2 linked regions of the Struthio camelus genome follow. The protein of the gene in region 1 purifies or fractionates together with the protein of each later gene. This does not show direct contact. Links are inferred from orthologs where the notes say so. Each region holds a gene or a part of one and is shown on either strand. Other genes may lie near its edges.

The links.
Region 2: the proteins of MICALL2 (region 1) and RAB8A purify together in Homo sapiens (co-immunoprecipitation; 3 studies listed by BioGRID and IntAct, with this or other methods). This does not show direct contact. The link is inferred for Struthio camelus from reciprocal best matches to the Homo sapiens genes MICALL2 and RAB8A.

Annotation. Positions count from the first base shown.
Region 1 is NC_090956.1:6,919,977-6,928,899, reverse strand, and holds the start of MICALL2 (MICAL-like protein 2), read right to left. Parts: upstream 4,963-8,923; 5' UTR 4,839-4,962; coding exon 4,696-4,838; intron 1-4,695. UniProt on the Homo sapiens protein: Effector of small Rab GTPases which is involved in junctional complexes assembly through the regulation of cell adhesion molecules transport to the plasma membrane and actin cytoskeleton reorganization.
Region 2 is NC_090967.1:5,169,404-5,178,326, reverse strand, and holds the start of RAB8A (ras-related protein Rab-8A), read right to left. Parts: upstream 5,706-8,923; 5' UTR 5,626-5,705; coding exon 5,502-5,625; intron 5,016-5,501; coding exon 4,955-5,015; intron 4,697-4,954; coding exon 4,636-4,696; intron 4,226-4,635; coding exon 4,148-4,225; intron 3,677-4,147; coding exon 3,587-3,676; intron 1,999-3,586; coding exon 1,933-1,998; intron 1,361-1,932; coding exon 1,310-1,360; intron 472-1,309; coding exon 379-471; 3' UTR 1-378. Other genes in the region: TPM4 (tropomyosin alpha-4 chain), read right to left, coding at 6,393-6,475, 7,847-7,916, 8,005-8,067, 8,720-8,795. UniProt on the Homo sapiens protein: The small GTPases Rab are key regulators of intracellular membrane trafficking, from the formation of transport vesicles to their fusion with membranes.

The sequences.
Region 1 (8,923 bases):
GGCTTTCCTTTGCTTTGCAACGACACATCTAAACGCAGAAGCAGGGTAAGCGTGAAAGCAATCGGTGCCAGACTCTCAAATAATACTGAACCTACCTATTTACTCTCCATCCGTGCCTTTCACTCTTGCACTACTGAATGCCGTTTGCTACAGTAGCATGTATTCAGCTTCACAGCTGTGTGGCATGGAACAGAGACCTAAAAGCCTAAAACTCTGACGGTGACTGTTTGAAATCTCCTCCTGCCCCTAAAGGAGGGTGCAAACAGCCAGGTTACTTGGTCGTTTAAAGAGCCTCCTGCCCTCCCAGCATCACTCCGTCCCTAGCTAGTCAGGTGATCAGCTTACATAAAAATACTTCTTTAGGAAATTGATCTTGCCAGCGCATCTCCTATCCTGGAATATCAAATACTCTCTGCAATGTAATCCTAAGAAAGAAAAGTTAATACAAATGGAGAAGCAGGAGTTTTCCACTGAGAAAACATGGGCAACTGAATTAATTGGAAGAGGTGAGAAACATAAATCTGACCCAAGAGAGGGCCTCCAGTGTTGGAAACAAATCAGAATGGAGTTCAATAGTGCAGGAAAAGAAGTTTTTAGCTCCCAAAGTTCTTCTCTAGTAAAAGAGTGGCTGAGCAATTCCCATGCCCAGAAATCTCTGTGACCCACCCCTGCTCTGGCTGCACAGACCCAGAGTTTGCATAGCATGCCACAGTCCTTCCCAAGCGCGCATGCTTCCCTGGGAGGGACTTCTGCTGCTGCTGCAAGCACTAACTCTGTGGGAAATGCTACCTTGGAGCAGACTGAACAGAAAATGGCCCAGAGGCTAGCGTAGGCAAAGCAGGTCCCGCAGAACCTCACTGCCTCTAGGCACCTCCATACCATTTTTGTAAGATATCTGCTGTCAGAAGGATGACTGAAAAACAGAAAAGCATCCTTTGTCTGCACGCAGTCCTTGAACTGAGGGTTCAATCCCGTCTGCTCTTCTGAGAACAGGACCTTTCAGCAGCTTGCTTACCGAAGGTACAACAACCTGGAGAGAGGTGACAGGGCTGGGAATCCTAAGTGGAAGATGCCCCCCTTGCTCTCTTCTTCCTCTCAGTGACCCCTGCTTCACAGCTTCTCTGATCTCACTGGAGGGCTGACATGCTGCTGGGGGTGACTATGAAAGGATGAGTCTCCCTTATTCCAGAACCATCCTCCCCTTACCTACGCCTGTCGTAGGAAACACAACCTGGAGGAAGCCAAGCAGGTAGCAGCTCTGCTTCGCTCCAGCCCTTTGCTGAGGAGACGGAGACCGTGGGCAACCTGCCTTCAGCACAGCCGAGGCAAGCACCCCAAGCCTAGGGTCAGCAGTGGCTGGGTCACCTGGTGCTCGTCCCCCTTTCTGTCTTTTTTGGAGGCTCGTGGCCTCCTCCTCCCTGGCTGAGCTGACAATGACCCAGGAAACAACATCGCTGGAGGCAGCTGCTCGGCTCCAGCCACCAAACGCGCCTGAGCACACAGCCGCCAAGGGGGATTTCACAACCAGGCAATTCCCAGAACGCTGAGTTAAATACCAGTTAACGAGCCGGGAAAGAGCAAGATCCAGGATGAAGACAAGGAGCTTAATCAAAACCTTTCCTCAACATCTGGCATTTATTTCAGACCGAGTGAGCAGGAGACCATGGCTCCTCTACTTCTTCTAATTCACTTATCACACTCAGACCACTAAAACCTCTGGTCAGAGCTCGCACAGCCAACACCATCACACACAGCAGCCACAAAACAGAGCCCACGTTTCAGAGTCCCACTTCATACAGCTAAGAAGTTCCATATTCCTCTGACGAGAGGAACTTCAGTGCTCTGTAATCAGCCCAGCAAACGGACTGAGACCTGCCTGATGCAGCATGCGCACCTGTCTGGGGCTGGGTATGAAATACTCTTCAGCTGGGATGAAAGAGAAGTGAATTTCCATGGCAATTCAGTTGCGTGTTTCTACTCCAACAGAGCCCAGTCTGTCTGCGAATTCTCGGGTGAGTGGGAAGTGCGTGGGAAGTGCATTTCTGATTTCACACAGCCTGCCCTATTCACCGATAACATACAGACTGACATAACCCAAGTTTGAAAGAAGCTATCATATTCTCCACGTGTTTTCTGGCAGGAAAACAGGAAGGGGGAAGAGATATATGCCAGTCTATACTCTGACCCATGTATTCTCAACCCCGCAAGAGAAGCACATTATTAACTTGTTTTGAATTGCCTGAAATTTTCTTGTGAATGTCTCCAGCCTCCTCGAACAAGAAATCCCCTCTCCGTACTGTTCAGTCCTCAGCCCAAGAATGTCGTTTACACAAACCAAGACAGAAAACACATTATTGCAAAACTCTGATGCCGTGACTGAATTGCGTTCTGTAAGTGATTTACATATAAGGGCTGCTCCAAACACACCGAGCTCTCCAAACACCAGTTATCCTATTCTAGCTTTACTTTCAGTATGATGCTTTTAACATCCAACTAGGATCTTTGCTAGAAGCAAGCTTCTGGAGCTCAGGATAAAGCATTTCAAGTCCCCAGGGAAGTCAGAGGCGCAGCCACATGCACACCCAGCCACGCTTCCCTGCTAGTGGCTCCTGTGCCGTAAACTCAGAGCGGCTTTTGAAGATTCACAGAGAATTTGCACAAGTATCCAGCCCCAGGAGCCAAGGTACACGTGACACCCTGCAGCCTTGTCCACCAACCACTTCAATATGTGACTTCCTTCCAGCAGGACTTTGACCATCCAAGGATATACACCTGGTGCTTTACTGCATTTACACTACTGTCATTGATGAAGGAGGTTACACATAAAAGACTCTGTTACTTTAACCTTTACGTCATCTTCACCGAGCTGCTCTATATCAGAAAGAGCTTCTATAAGGTCCTGAATAAAGTCAGGCAGAATTTTTTTCAATTCAACGGGAAAGGACCGATGTCACTAGGAACATTTTCCCTCTTGAGTACAGAGGCATTTATTTAAGATAAATCTATCCACAGCTCCTGGTGCACAATTTAAGGATTATAAACAACTTACTAATTTGTGCAGCAGGATTATTCCAGCTCTCAAGTCACTAAGCCCCTGTTTACATCCATGTCCCCAGATGGGCTGACTGCACAGTTGGCCAGGAAGTGGCTGCAGTCCTTCTAGGAGCACCTCCCAGTCACATCAACATTTTTGCCCTAGTATTTCATATCTTATAGACTATGAATCAAAGGAAGGAAAAGAAACATTTGGAGTCACGTGGAAATGAAAACACGTCAGGAAGCCATACATAACAACACCATGGTGACTGCCCAAGCATTGGCAAGGAGGAGATAACACAGAAAGTGCGCCTAAAGTTCCTGCCTAGTCTCCTACTGTTCAAGCTAGCCCTTGCCTCTTGCAAGTTTCAAAACAACGGAGAAGAGAGCAAAAGGATGTCTCCTTCTTGGGTTCCCACAAGAAGGGACACCTGCAACAGAGATCTCCATACATAACTCCCTGTGACAGGCTGTCCTGAGAACCCAAGGGAAAAAAAAGGCAGAATTCAAGGAGCAGGAGGAAAACTGCAATACAGAAAACACAACCTTGTCCTCTGCTAGTCAACCACGTCTGACTGGAAGACATCTAATGCTTAAATCAATACTGTAGGGAAGTCTTTGCACTGCTTCCCTGCACTGATCTCCCTCTTCAACCCCCCCATTCCCCCGCCCCCGTCTTCAAGTGAAAACGGCCAGGCGAAAAACCGAGGAAACAGAATTTATATCTTCCTTTGGCATTACACCTATCCAGATTTTAAATTTGGGTAGAGGCAGGTCAAAGTCTATAGGACAAGAGCAAAGAGGCCAGCAAGGAATGCAAGGCACTTTGCCTCCCACAGACCAGGCTCCGAATGCGAAAACACCAGTTTGTAGGAATCCAGCAGCCACCACGCTCCTGCCTTCACAAAGAGCTCCTCTGAAAAGAGGACACTTTCCCTGTTCCCATGGAAGAGCGAGTGGGCTGCGGGGAAGACGTAAGCTTTCTCCTGAACAGCTCCTATTAGATACTTAGCAGAGCAGCCTGCCTGGAAACTCCCTGCACTCCTATTGCATTTTGTTTAAATAGCATCTATTCCTTAACTAAAAACTGACAGAACTGCCGTTTGGCTCCGCAACAAAAGCCGAGCCTAAGCAAACACAAACAGCAAAGAAGGAAACGTTTCCCAACTGCTGCCTGAGCTTGCTTTGCAAAAGCAAGGACATACTTTAAACGTTTATCCTTTGGCCGCAGCCTTCCACAACTCCTTAAAAAACAGAAGGGGGGCGAAGGATAGCCTGTAAATGGGGAAAAAGAAGATTACCTTGGAGGCTTCCTGCTTCGCAAGCTAGCAAAGCTCCCCTCTGACACGAGCGCTGCCTGACCGCAGCATCCTCTCGGCAGGACTCGGGACCAGTCCCCTTCCCTCGCTGCTGCACACCTGAGGGCGGCGAGGGCCCTCGGCCTCGCCAAGCGCGGCGAAACGAGGGCCGGCGGCCTTGCTGCCCGCAGCACAGGGAGGCTGCTCGGCCTCGCCAGCCGGTGCGAGTGGGGACCCTCGGCCTCGGCGGACGCTGCGAGCGGAGGGCGCCCGGCCTCGGCCAAGCGGGGACCGTTGGCCTCGCCGACCGCGGCCCGGCCCGTAGCCCGAGCGGGGGGCCGGGCAGGCGGCGGGTACTCACATGAGGTCGGGGCGGTGGCGGTGCAGGATGGCGCAGAAGGCGAGGCCGTCGCGGAAGGAGGTGGTCATGTTGGTGATGCTGACATCGCGGTAGCCCTCGCACTGCTGCTTGCACCACAGCTGCAGGTTCTGGATGGCCGCCATGGCGCGGACCCCCCGGCAGGGGCAGGGGCAGGTGGCGGCGGGGCCCGCGCCCGGGGCGGCTCGGCGGGGCCGCGCAGAGCCCCGCGGCGGCGGCGACCGAGCCGAGCTGAGGCGAGCGGCTGCCCGGCGTGCGGCGGAGCGGGCCGGCCCGGCGCGACGGCGGCCAGGAGGAGGAGGAGGAGGAGGAGGAGGAGGAGGAGGAGGCGGGCGGAGGGGCGGGCGGAGGCGGCGGCCGCCACCGCCCCCCTCGGGCCCGCCCAGCCCCGCCGGCGGCCCCGCACCTCGGCGCCCTTCGCAGGGCGGCGGCGGGGTTGAGATATGTTTTCTGTTATCTCCGAAGCGAAGCTTGTTTTCCGCGCCGTCCGCCACGCTGCCCGCACAGTCCGCGGGCCCGGCTCCCCCCTCCGGGCCCGGCGAGGCAACAGCACGCTCTGCTCCGAGCGTTGCTGCGGGGCGAGTGAAAACACCATGTCACGCAACTTGGGGGGCTGGTGGTGGAGCTCCTCTGCACCCCTTCCTATCGACGGAGGTTGCCTTAGCGTGGAAAAAAAACCAAACCCAAACAAAAACCTCAAACGCAAATAAAAAGGGCTTCTGGTCACGCGCGTGGGTCACAGGCCCACGCGGCCGCGTCCCGAGGGAGGAAACGGCAGCTGTCCGGAGGCCGGCGGGCGAGGAAGGCTGACGGGCAGGAGCCACGGGGGGACGGGGCGCCCCGGCGGGAGCAGCTCGGCGGCACCACAGGCCGCAGAAAGCCCGGAAGGAGGCAGGAGGGAGACGCTCCCGCGGCCTAGGAAGAGAGCAAAGAAAAGGGAATCGCGCAGCGATCCCATTACGTACAAATTTGGGCTGCTTCCCCTACAGCAGTAAGAGTTGGCGCTTATTTTTGGCCTCTCGTCAAGTTACCCATCAGTTTTGGATCTGCCCCAGACGGCTTAAGCCACGGCTAAGGAAAGCTCAATGACCGTTAATTTATGCAATCACCCCCCAGCACCCACATCACAAAAAAATAACTCACCCGCTACGCTCTTGTTCAGCTGACAAAACCGCAGAAGATACAAGGTAACACTTTTTAAGAGCTGCCTATAAATTAGGTAAAAATAATTAATAATACATATTATATAATATATTAATAGCATTTGTATGACATGATATGGATAATATACATTAATATATAAATACCTTACAAATAATTCAGTGTGTTTCCATTTCATCAACAAGCCCTGGCCAATGTATTTACTTTATGGTAAGGATTATACATTTCATTATAAATGGCTTGCTGGGCATGTCAGCAACTTTTACATCTCCATTCACTTTATTATTAATGGTTTCCTGAACAGTAACGGCATAATAATGCACACAATGCAGCATGAATATTTGATGTGGCATCTATAGTCTCCCATTTATCATTTATAACAGGCTACAAAAACATTATAAAACATTTATTACAAATTTATAGATCACTTTATACTAAAACAAAGTTGTGTTATAAATACATTATTAATCCTTTATGCCATTTATAGGAATCCCTTGTAATAAGGCCTCAGCGTATGTTGCTGCACACCCCTAACAATAACAGAATGGTGGGGCAGGTAGGAAATACGGCTCAGTAAGCCTGCTCTTGAATATTGGGCATAGTCTGTAAAGGAAGGGATAAACATCTGCACTCAGAATTAATCAGACTACCAAGGGAACAATCTGAAGAAATGCTAGATCAACTCAAACTTGTCTTTTCCCCTTGAAAAAAACATGCATTAAAAGGTGCTTTTTTTCTTGCACGTGTTGGAAACTTTCACCACAGGTGTGATGTAACAGAGCTCACCTATCCCAGTCCATTTTCACACAACCTTTTAATTAGATTGATAAAACTTGCAGAGTTTCTAAAAGCCAACTGGCTAATGACAGGCAAATAGACAGCCCTTTCCATCCTCTGTCATCAGGTAACTTAAGGAAGAGGCCCTCATGAGAAATAAAGAAGATGCGCTTGGTTTAGAAAATGCATTTGTGGGGTTTAAGTCACTAAGACTGTTTTGTCTGGCAGCATGCATCCCACTACAGTGCTTGCAATCTAAATAGTGCAGCATTGGGAAATGAAGGAAGAACGATGTTTAGAAATTGAGTTGTTGCCAAACAGTAGTAGTAAAAGTAGTGAAAAATCAGCTTCTGAGTCTAGCTTTGACGCATCTGTAGTTACCCCTTTCAGATTTAATGGCCAAGATAGGGCACAGCACAGAGAAACATATTTAGTTGTTTAGAAAAAAATATATTTGTTTAACATGACAATCTGTATTCCAACAAACCTGGCTTAACGAGTCAGTGTGGTTAGTCCCTTCTCATTTCCTTGCACTTTGGGAAGGGGCAACAGGGGCTGCGTGGCAGGGAACAGATCCACAGAGCAGAAAGCCAGGATGGACTACAAAGAGCAGCTGCTATTTTCTGTATATCACAGACCACTACGTTTCACCTCATTCCTCCCTGTATCAAGCCCAGTCATTTGTGTTTGACCAAGACAACTGTATCAGAAAGGCATCCAGGCTTGCAGACACCAGAAGACAAATCTACTAGAGGCTGACTCCATGCTGTGCTTCCCAAAAGAGGGTTAGGTCGGAGACACAGCTTTTGGTATACCACAAGACTCGGGTCCACATTATAAACTAAGGTGATTAGAATAATGTTGCTGAATGAGTTAGCTAATACAGTCATAGTATTACTAGTGGCCCAGTAATGGCTTTTCAGAATACAGGCATCAGCGACTTGTGCAGTGTTCTTAGTTGGTGATTAAGGAGAGCTCGGCGGGAGTTAATAGCTATGATGAGCCTTTAATGCACGAACAGGTAAACTAACAAGCATTAGGGGAAGGAACTGGGGAGAGAGGGAGGCAGAGCTATCTGTGCAGCAGCTTACCCATTACCGACAACTGTTGTTCTCCCAAGATGTTCCTGGTGGGATGATGCTTGCGAACCTTGGATCATATTTTTCTCTTTTACATCTTTCCCTTGGAGGAGTCTTGTATGTCCATATGCCTGTTTTCAGCATCTTGCCTCCACTCACTTTGCTTCTCCCTGCACTATGGGGCTTTCCCACCTGTGGCATATTGCAGACACATGGAGCAGAGCATGTCCTGTGAGTGCAGTGCCTACTTGCCTAGATCCCTTCCTGAGACACGTTCAGAAGCTTACTGGAGAATGAGGAGAACAGCAGGCCACAGACGTGAAGTGATATAGTCTCCTATATTTACACTTTCCCTTTTCTTTCTCTCCTGCAGGCCCTCTCAGCTCTCCTTCTAGATACTGATCTGTAGTGCAGAAATGTTGAGTGTTTTCTGAAGGCTGCTCTTAATAGTATGGATCACAACTGCCATTACCTCTTAAATTTGTCCTGGTTCCCATATGCATATTATTGTTAGTAGAGAAAACTTAAGCAAATGACTAGGACCACCTTAAAAGGCCAAAGAAAAATAAACCCATTTTTGTTAATTTGACAAGAGAAAGGGGAAGGGATGATTCCTTACATTTGAAAGTGTGGGGCCTTATGAAACTGAGACTCAAGTAATGCAGTTTCTGCATAAGAGTGAGGGAGTGAACCATCAGAGAGAAAAATCATGTCTTTGATCAACTGATTTCCCAACAATAGTTAAAACTGAGCTACTTCATATTTTTGCTGAAGGCTGTACACAAGGCTGTTTGCTCCCAACAATAGGAAGCGTGTTTTGTAGCCAAGAGCTCTCATACATGCCAATGGCTTGTATTAAATTGAGGGATTCAAAACAAGAAGGAAAAATTATGTGCGTCTCATCAGTAACATGCCTCATCAACTCTCTGTTCCCAGGAGGCAGCCAGGCTGACTCCACAGACACTGAAAGGCCCACGTCAGAGAAAGGAAAGCCCCAACAATTTAACAGCTACTCACACAGAAATGCTTTTGCATGATGTCAGCCTCTCCTCTGCCTGGCTGCCATCTGACCAGCAGAGTAGCAGGAGAAAGTTAGAACAAAATTCAGGTTTGAACATGAATTCCCACCGAAAGAAGAAGAAAGTGAAATGTGAAGTTACAGAAAGAAGCGCTTTTGTAAGCCTGTCCATGAT
Region 2 (8,923 bases), on another chromosome or scaffold:
ATGTACACATACCAGTTCTTTATTAATATTGGCATTTCAATTTCTTATTTTGATCATAACTTAATTTTTCCTAATTTGGATACATTACAGATATGAACAAAAGATTGAAGCCTGTCAGCAAAGGTGCTATTACAGGTCACACTTGATCTGTATTCCCTCTGCTAGACATATGCCCAGTGACAATCTGACAAAAATAAACTTGTTTCATCTCCAAAATTGAAGAGTCAGACAATTACTAAAATAAACAATTTCTTATTCAGATGGTCACAGAGTGACACGGTATGTTGAAAATGTTAAGTCCACAGACAGAGGAAATCTCACTCAGAACAGGCACAGTCCAGTTCAGTTGAGCAGATGCTCAGATTAAGGCTGTGTCCCTCACAGAAGAACACATCGGAAAAAGCTGCTTTTCTTTTGCTGGTCTGGTGTGATTTTGACTCCCTGGTTGCTGCCTTGCGGGCTATTGCCTTCCTGAAGATTCAAAGAATTTTAAGTTACTTATTTATACTAAACAGCTCTTAGCATCACTGCAAGATCTAGCATCTATTCTTTATCCATTTGGTTGAATCAAGCCTGTGATTATACAAAAACTATTACTAAAACGAGCGGGAGTTTTCATTCATTTAAGTGAGCCTTACTATCAGCCACTACCAGAGGTCAAAAGAATTGCATCTGCTACTTTTGGGTCCGACTAACATGGACTACACTTCTTATTTCTCTAAACTCAAAGGCAACCAAATTTTAAAAATACAAGACGTGTTTGGCTTTTACTGAAATACTTTGGAAGCATCAACAAGACCCACAGACCGAAACCGATGCATGTTCGTTTGTTGTACGAAAGATGACTTTTATGAATGCACCCTGAGAGATGATTTTGTTATGTCAAAAAAACTAATTAGTTCTCTGCCTTGAGTTAAACATAACAGCCTGAAGACTAAGTGAAGTAGGAAGTGGGCCTCCCATGTTGCTAATTTAAGTGATTCAGTTTTTTGGACTGCAAGAGCAAGAAATATCATTAAACTGCTCTGCTCTACGATTCACTTGGCTTTCAATAAAACAAATAAAAGATAATTTTATTTAGAGAACCTCAACCATTGCAGCTAGTTTCTGAATGTAGAGACAACTGTTTATATCCCAAGGTCAGACTAGTTCGAGAACACTAAAAATAAATTTCTATAACCTTCAGTGCACCCCCCATGAAAGAGACGACAAAATATTTTTGATTCAACACGATAGAGTACTTAGTATTGGGCTTTTGGTTGTTGGTTTCTACTTAAAGACAGCCTAGACTAAGTAAAAAGTTACTCACCAATTTCTTGTCCATTTTTGCTTTGATATCTCTTGCAAGAGTGAAAAATGCCTATAGTAAGTACAACAGTTAAAAGTTACAAGACGAAGAAAACATATCCCAACGTTTTTGTTTAGTAATAAGCTGCCTTCCTGTGCTTCTGCACATACGAAACTCGTGAAGAACGTCAGATTCTCAGTATTCCTTTCTCGAGGTTTTAATGCTCCTTCCTCTGTCTTTGAACCTTTTCTAAATCCACTACTGCCTTTTTGAGGCTGAAAACTGTAATAGGACACAGTACCCACGATGTGGGCACATCCAGGTTTTATATAGTGGCAAAATGATGCCCTTTCTAAGTGGCACTATCGAATACATGCAGAGACATAAACCAATCTTTTCAGCATGCTATTCTAAAGCAGTTTGCTGTAATGCCTCTGCATTACACTTTACGCACCAAGTTCAATTTCAGTCATTTAGAATAACATTGGTTAGACCATGCATTCACAGGAGGCAAAGATATGTATTTAACAACCCATCTGAAATATCTAACAATTGAGTTTTGCATCCAGTCAGCACGGGTAAGTGCTCTTATTGCTTCTTTTTGTACTAAGACAGTAAGTAGAAGGGAAGGGTTGCATACTTACATTCTCTATGTTTATATTTGCTTTTGCACTGGTCTCCATAAATTTAATTCCAAAACTTGCGGCAAGCTGAACAAAAGCAGGTTCGTGTTAGTTGGATAATTGCAGGAACAGCTATAAATATAACCAATGGTGCAGGATCTACCCCTCCTAGAGTGATTCATAGGAATTGGGGATCTACTCAAGCAGAACAATTTGCAAAAATCAGGAACTGAATCTGATTCCTCTCGGTATCTATTCTCACTGGTTTTTGTTCTTCTGTTTTACATTCTGCATACATTTTAATTGGCTCCTTTGTTCCTTATATTTTATTTTTTTGCATAGGTATCTTGTGAGACTTGTAATACCTGCAGTGCACAGAAGTACATTCTTTACCTTGACTAATTAACAATTGAAGCCAGAAAAGACAATCCTATCTCTTTTGCCTCACTGGCTTTCATCAAAAAGGGACATTCCTAAATGCTAGCCTTTTGCATGCTTTTCCTTCCTTTTACTAAGAATAAATTCAGTTTTCCTGCTCTGCATCTAACAAACCCTGACCAGACAGTCAACAAACAAGAATTCTTAACACAGACTCATCTTTTCATCAGAATAGGGAAACATATTGCAACTACAGCTTGGGAAACGTTAAATAGTTCCACTGAGAAATACCCTGGAAGAAACAGGGCAACATATAGACAACAATGAATACAATGTTTACATTTTGAAAAGTCTAATTTGAAATAAATTAAAGCAGTGAGGTTTCTGGGGCTGGTGGCGGTGGCATATTCAGTGTATCAGTTCTCAAGCACCTTATAGAAAATGACAATTGCCGCTTTGGAAGTGGAAGTCTGACTTTAGCCTCTGTTACTAAACATGGTAATACAGCTGTTTATAATGTTAAGAGTATGTTATTCTATAGCCAAGTTAACCATTCCTAAACGGTCCCAAACATCAGCAAACTGCAATTTTATAAAACACTCCAGAGGTTTTTGGATTTTCAACTTTTGAAATGAAGATTTTTTTTTTTCTTTAACGATTAAGAGCACAACACTGAACGCTTACAATTAGAGCAAGGGGCTCTAATTTATGATCTCAACTTTTTTTTGTAAGCTTCATTTACGACTGTGGCATTCATAAGAGATCACAGAAGCCAATAACACTTCACAGGTAGTGCACATTATTTTGTTAGGTATAGAAATCAATAACCACTAACTCTGAACCATTTTCTTCACTGGAAGAACAGGTTTTCTACCAGCAGAATAACAGACTGAGCCTACAGTTTTTTCCAGCTGAGGCACACATACATCAAAAGGAATAAAAACTATTTTAACATTCGTACAGAAGATTTCACTGCTGAGACCAAAATAACAAGGATAAAGATTAAATCCAAGAAGGAACACCATCATACTTTAGTGAGCTTTCAGAAGTGGTAGATCAATCTTACTGGCTGGAACTTCAAAATTAGCACTTTAGTCCTCCTAAGGCAGCTATAACATAGACTCCTGCCACAAAAGCAGCAAGTCAGACACACGAGCCACACTTGGCAACCGTCTTGGCAGTAAGTAAGGAACTTTACGGGCTTTAAAGAGACTGAGGGATTTAGGAAGTATTCAGTTCCAAGCACTGACTTCAGCCCCTGGGCAGAGACAGGATGAAGCCAGGCGATGGCACTTACCTTCTCCCCTTGCTCTCTAGAGACTTGTCTTTTGTCATTTGCATCACACTTATTTCCAAGAATCATTTTTTCAACATCTGGGGAGGCATGCTGACATAGAAACAGACAAAAGAAAGTACTTCAGCTTAGTATTTGTCTACAAAAAAACATCAGAAAGGTGAAGCATACATCAAGTACTGAAAACAAAGGTGCTGATGCAAAGAATTTTCCATAGATTTAAGAGTTTCCCCCAAACACCCCATCCCAACAGTTTTCTTCAGACACTCACAGCTCAGGGCCTGCCTGCATAAAGGCAGCTCTTTAGGTCACTTGCGGTGGCAGGAAAACATCTCTCAATCGCTAGAAAGGCTACAGTCCATACAACGTGCTCTCACGTGCAATGAATTACTATGAACCGAGACATTCTAAAAGATATTACCAATTTTCTTGCAATATGTTTTCCACATTTACTCTACAGTACATAAATTAGAAAGAAACATAACAATGCTGAAGCATTTAACTTTTAACTACTTCTAGAATGGGGATAGCATTTTTAATACTGAGTCAATAAACAGAAATTACCTCTTCAATATTCCTGACCCAGTTCCGAATATTTTCAAAAGATTTTTCATTGGTGATGTCATAGACTAGCATAATGCCCTAAAGATAAAAACAAAACACCTTATTTCAGCTAGTGCCAGTTTAAGCAAAAGTTAAAGACTTTTCCATGACAAAGAAACTTAACAAAGACTATTTAAAAAGAAATAGTTCCAAGTTACACATAACATTTAATCACAATTTGTGTCTTATTAGATAAGGTGTACTAAATGTATATTTATACAGTGAGTCACAATGGAAATCTGACTTTGTAGGTCCCCACATTGTCTCAGTACAGCTTCAACACCATTAGCGCTGAGGAACAGGAGTGCAAGTTGTCAAGTGTTTACCCAGCTAGAGTTCATATGCTGAAACACAGGCGGTTACATACGCTCCCCATTAAAACACAGCTGGTTTGATGTTGAAAACTAAGGTGTCTGTTGAACGCTCAGCGTGACCTGCCCCGCTCCTACCATTGCTCCCCGGTAGTACGCTGTCGTGATGGTTCGGAATCGCTCCTGCCCAGCCGTGTCCCTGAAACAGACCAGAACACAGGGGCTCATGCAACCCAGCGAAGCTATTGCGCTGAAATTAGAGCTTTCAGAAACTTTAATTAAATATTTTTAATCAGTTTTTAGAAGCACTGAAACAACAGTTGTGGTTTCTAAGATACTGTAAGCTACTGAAGAGCACAACTAGATTGAAAACGTAATGATAATATCACTACTCCACACCATACTGATGCCGGGTTATAAGAAATTAATTCATGTAACGTTAGAAGAAAAGGCTTACCATATCTGTAGTTTAATTCGCTTGCCGTCTAGCTCTATAGTTCTAATTTTAAAATCAATACCTGAAAAGAGAAGTAACTAAGTTACTCTTAGTTTCTGCTGAAGACCAAGCTAACTTTTCCCCTCTCGTTTCCCTGGTGAGGTTTGCACTGGCAGAACACCCTTCCAGGTAGCTAACGAAGCAAAGCGCGAGGTTTTACAGTCGCTCACGCTAGACAACGGCCTCTGCAGAGCGAAGGAGAGCGATCTGAGCCGCAGCAGCCACAAGCAAAGCGCCTGCCCGGATCCCCGCAGGGCCGGGGGGAGCGAACGAACAGTGAGGCACGTTCGCAACCGGCGCCGAGGCAAGGCCGGCGCAACCGAGCTCCACCGCAACCGCTGAACGAGGCGCTGCGCGCCGAGCCGCTAAAGCCGCCCGAGGCGGCAGCGAAACCGCCCTCCCCGCCGCCGCCGCCGCCGCGCAGCCCCCCAGCGCGCGAGCCGCCGGCACGGGGCAGCGCTGAAGCAGCGGCGACCGGCCCCGGCCCCGGCCCCGGCCCGGCGCGCACCGATGGTGGAGATGAAGGTGGCGTTGAAGGCATCCTCGGAGAAGCGGAAGAGCGCGCAGGTCTTGCCCACGCCCGAGTCGCCGATGAGCAGCAGCTTGAACAGGTAGTCGTACGTCTTCGCCATCTTCCCGGCGCCGCCCCTCCGGCGACCCCCGCCCCCGCGCGCCTCACAGGCCGAGCCCGCCGGCCATCACCGCCCGCCGCGCGCCCATTGGCCGAGCCCAGCGGCGCGTCGCCGCAGGGCCCGCCTCCCCGGCCGCCGAGCAGGAAGAGAACGGAGCCGGCGCCCCATTGGCCGGCGAGCCGCGCTCCGTGTGTAACCGGCCGCGCCATTGGCCGCTCGCCTCGCCGCCCGTGCCCGGCGAGACGCCACTTCCGGCGGCGGACGGAAGTCGCGTGCGGCTAGGTGGCGGTATGACGTTTTGCTGACATCACGCCCAGCCGCTGCGCGCGCGGGGAAGCGCGACGGCGCTACGGACAGAGCAGGGGACACGGCGGGTCGGGGTGAAGCTGTTTAATATGAAAACGTCAGGAACAGTCGCGTTCGCGGGTAATACTGCTGGGATACCACCTACACTGATCCACATAAAAAAGCGGCGGGGCCAGCGCCGAGCCGGCGGAGACGGGGCAGGAGGGTCGCGCGCGGGCTCGTCGCTCGCCTTCCTGCATGCTGCAGTTTAATAAATACAGAGCTGGGTCTCCGCCGCCCCGGCCCTACAGCGGCGCGGCTGCGGCCGCGGTACGCCCAGGGCGCTGACCTGAACGCTTTGGGCACTGCTCATAACTTAATTTTCTTTTTTTTTTTCTAAGATACAGAGAAAGAGAGGAATGAAACGGTAAATACAGATACATGTTTAAGTTTCTGTTGGCGGCTGAGCGTTCTTCTCAATTTCATATACAGTTTAGTTCATTTAACGTCTGATCCAGTGTCTGATGCAACCCCAAATTCTCTTCTTTTGCCTGAGCAAGTTTTTCTAGGGAGAAAGGAGAGAAAACAAGACTTTAAACACACATTTTACTGCCTTTTCTCTTTCAATAAATAACCTCATTACTCACCTTTACTTTTAAGAGAACACTATAATTGCATCAAAGAAATTTGGGACTGATAATTATTTTTGTAATGGCTCTCGTTTAAAGGGTTTCTGGATGGGTCTGATATGTAATGCGACAGACTTGTATTTTAGTTTAACACGCGATGTACAGGACATGTCCTTCAGAGTTTCCATCGTTCTGAGAATTTTAAACCAGGCAGGTGAAACAACACGCAAAGTGAGAGCTAGCTCAAAGCTTTTTCATCTTTGGGAATACGAAAACTGAGGCCTTTGCCAGGCCACCAGGTTCTGTCCCGGCCATCAGGGGTGCCGAGACTGACCAAGCTCTTCAGCGCTGCGCAGGGTGCGCGTGGCCTGTTGCTCCCATGGCTGGTCCTGCACCACGGTCACTGTCCCGCCTGTGCTGACTGTGGGGGCCTGGCCCTGGCATGAGCAGCTAAATGTACTTTCAGTGTCATTACTGATGTATTTTACGTGAATCATGAGGAAAAAAACCCAGAAAGCTTAAAGGTAGAGGTAACTCGTTTTTATTGAAATCAGATCTTACAGAGAAGGCTGAAGGATCGCACTTAGAAGTTGCACAGAAGCGACAGGTCTTACAGGCAAGAAGAGCTTAAGAAATGCAGCGAGTCAAAGCCCCCCAGTAGGTGCAAATTACAGAGAGGTCATATCATTGAGAGCATGATCGAGCTCCTCACTGATAGCTTTGTACTTCAGCTTCTGAGCGTACAGCTCATCTATCAGGCACGAAGGCAGAAGGCAAGTTGCAGCAAGAGATGCAGAAAAGCAGTCCAGAGGAAGAGGCGTATAGCAGAAGATGCGAAGACAGCCAGAATGCAGCGAACCAAGTAATTGAGGGGGGAAGTAGAAGAAGAAAACAGATATGTAGTCAAACATTAGTGTGAAAGCAAAAAAAATATACACAGCTGCCAGGTCAGAAGCTTCATCTACATTTCCCCCCCTCTGCCAAGAATTGTTTTTCAGGCATCAGATTAAATGAGATTATGATTCTTGTTAAGTAGAAAGGCCCCTTTGAGCACACACATTTGTGAGTTGGCTAAAGGCAGGTTATTGGTAGCAACTTTTGAAGAGAACCTCTTTCAGGAAAATTCCCTCTGGGCAGGAAGTACCCGGCTGGACAGACATACGGATCACCAATTGTCTCACGCTGCTCTGGCTATACATCTGATTAATATTTTTGTCCTTTCCCAATAAAATATAATACTTATTCCTAGAATGTTGCTTTCTGAGCTAAAATGAAGACCTGTAAAATCATGATCAGTAATTTCATACCTTCCAGGTCATCAATAGACTTTTCCAGTTTTGCAACTGTTCTCTCCGCAAATTCAGCACGTGTTTCAGCCTAACAAACAAACAAATAAATAAATAGAATAAATGGATGCTGTTAAAAAAAGGCTGCCAAAGCACAGTTTGGGGATGGATAATCTTACTTCTTTAAGCTTGTCAGACAGAAGCTTGATTTCTTCTTCGTATTTATCTTCTTTTTCCGAGTACTGTGAAAACAATAAACACGCTCTTTAAGGGAAGTTGTAGCAGCAATAATGTTTATGAAAAACCTGACCTATTAATAACCACTTTTCCGTTTATGATAGCTGCAAACACCCTTCCCATATTTTTCTCCTCTTCACCAAGACTTCTCAAACTGATTCATATACCATCGTTTTAAGACTGAGGCTGTCCAAAGTTCCTTTACGTATCTATTTTAGTCCTTAACAGGCTTACTTTATTAGGCAGCACAAAAATAGCTGAATGTGCAAGAAATCATCAACTTTTCTATACCAATTAGGGCTAGCTGGAAACAACTGTTTAATGAAAGCAGGAGTTTTAGCAATTTGCCTTATTAAGAAGGCAAGCAACCAATACAAGATTCTTAACAAGATAACAAAATCAAGAACAGTCAGCTGCCTAGTAATGTGGGAAACAGAGTCAAATCCTGATTTGCAGGAAGCAATATTGCAGATAATTACCAGATTACTGAGTATTTTGGTTTTGGGCAGAACTGATACAACGTTATCAATACTCGCTGTTACACAAGCGGTCAAACTAAACCCTTAAATTTTTTTGTACTTCTGGATTATTTCTGTGAATTTTAATGACAAGTTTTGACTTCCCCCCACCATCCCTTAGCTCACTGAAAGAAGCAACCTTTTCAGATTGGGCTTCCAGGGACTTCAGGTTGTTAGTGACATTCTTTAATTCCTCTTCAAGGTCACTACATTTACTACGGGGGAAAAAAAAAGTACAAGTTACCACTGTCACTGTTATGACTTTGTTTAATTTTCAAAAGGTCTAAAAATACAGGTTATTAAGTAAATAAGTCTAAAAGCAGTGAGTTTGTTTATGGGACAC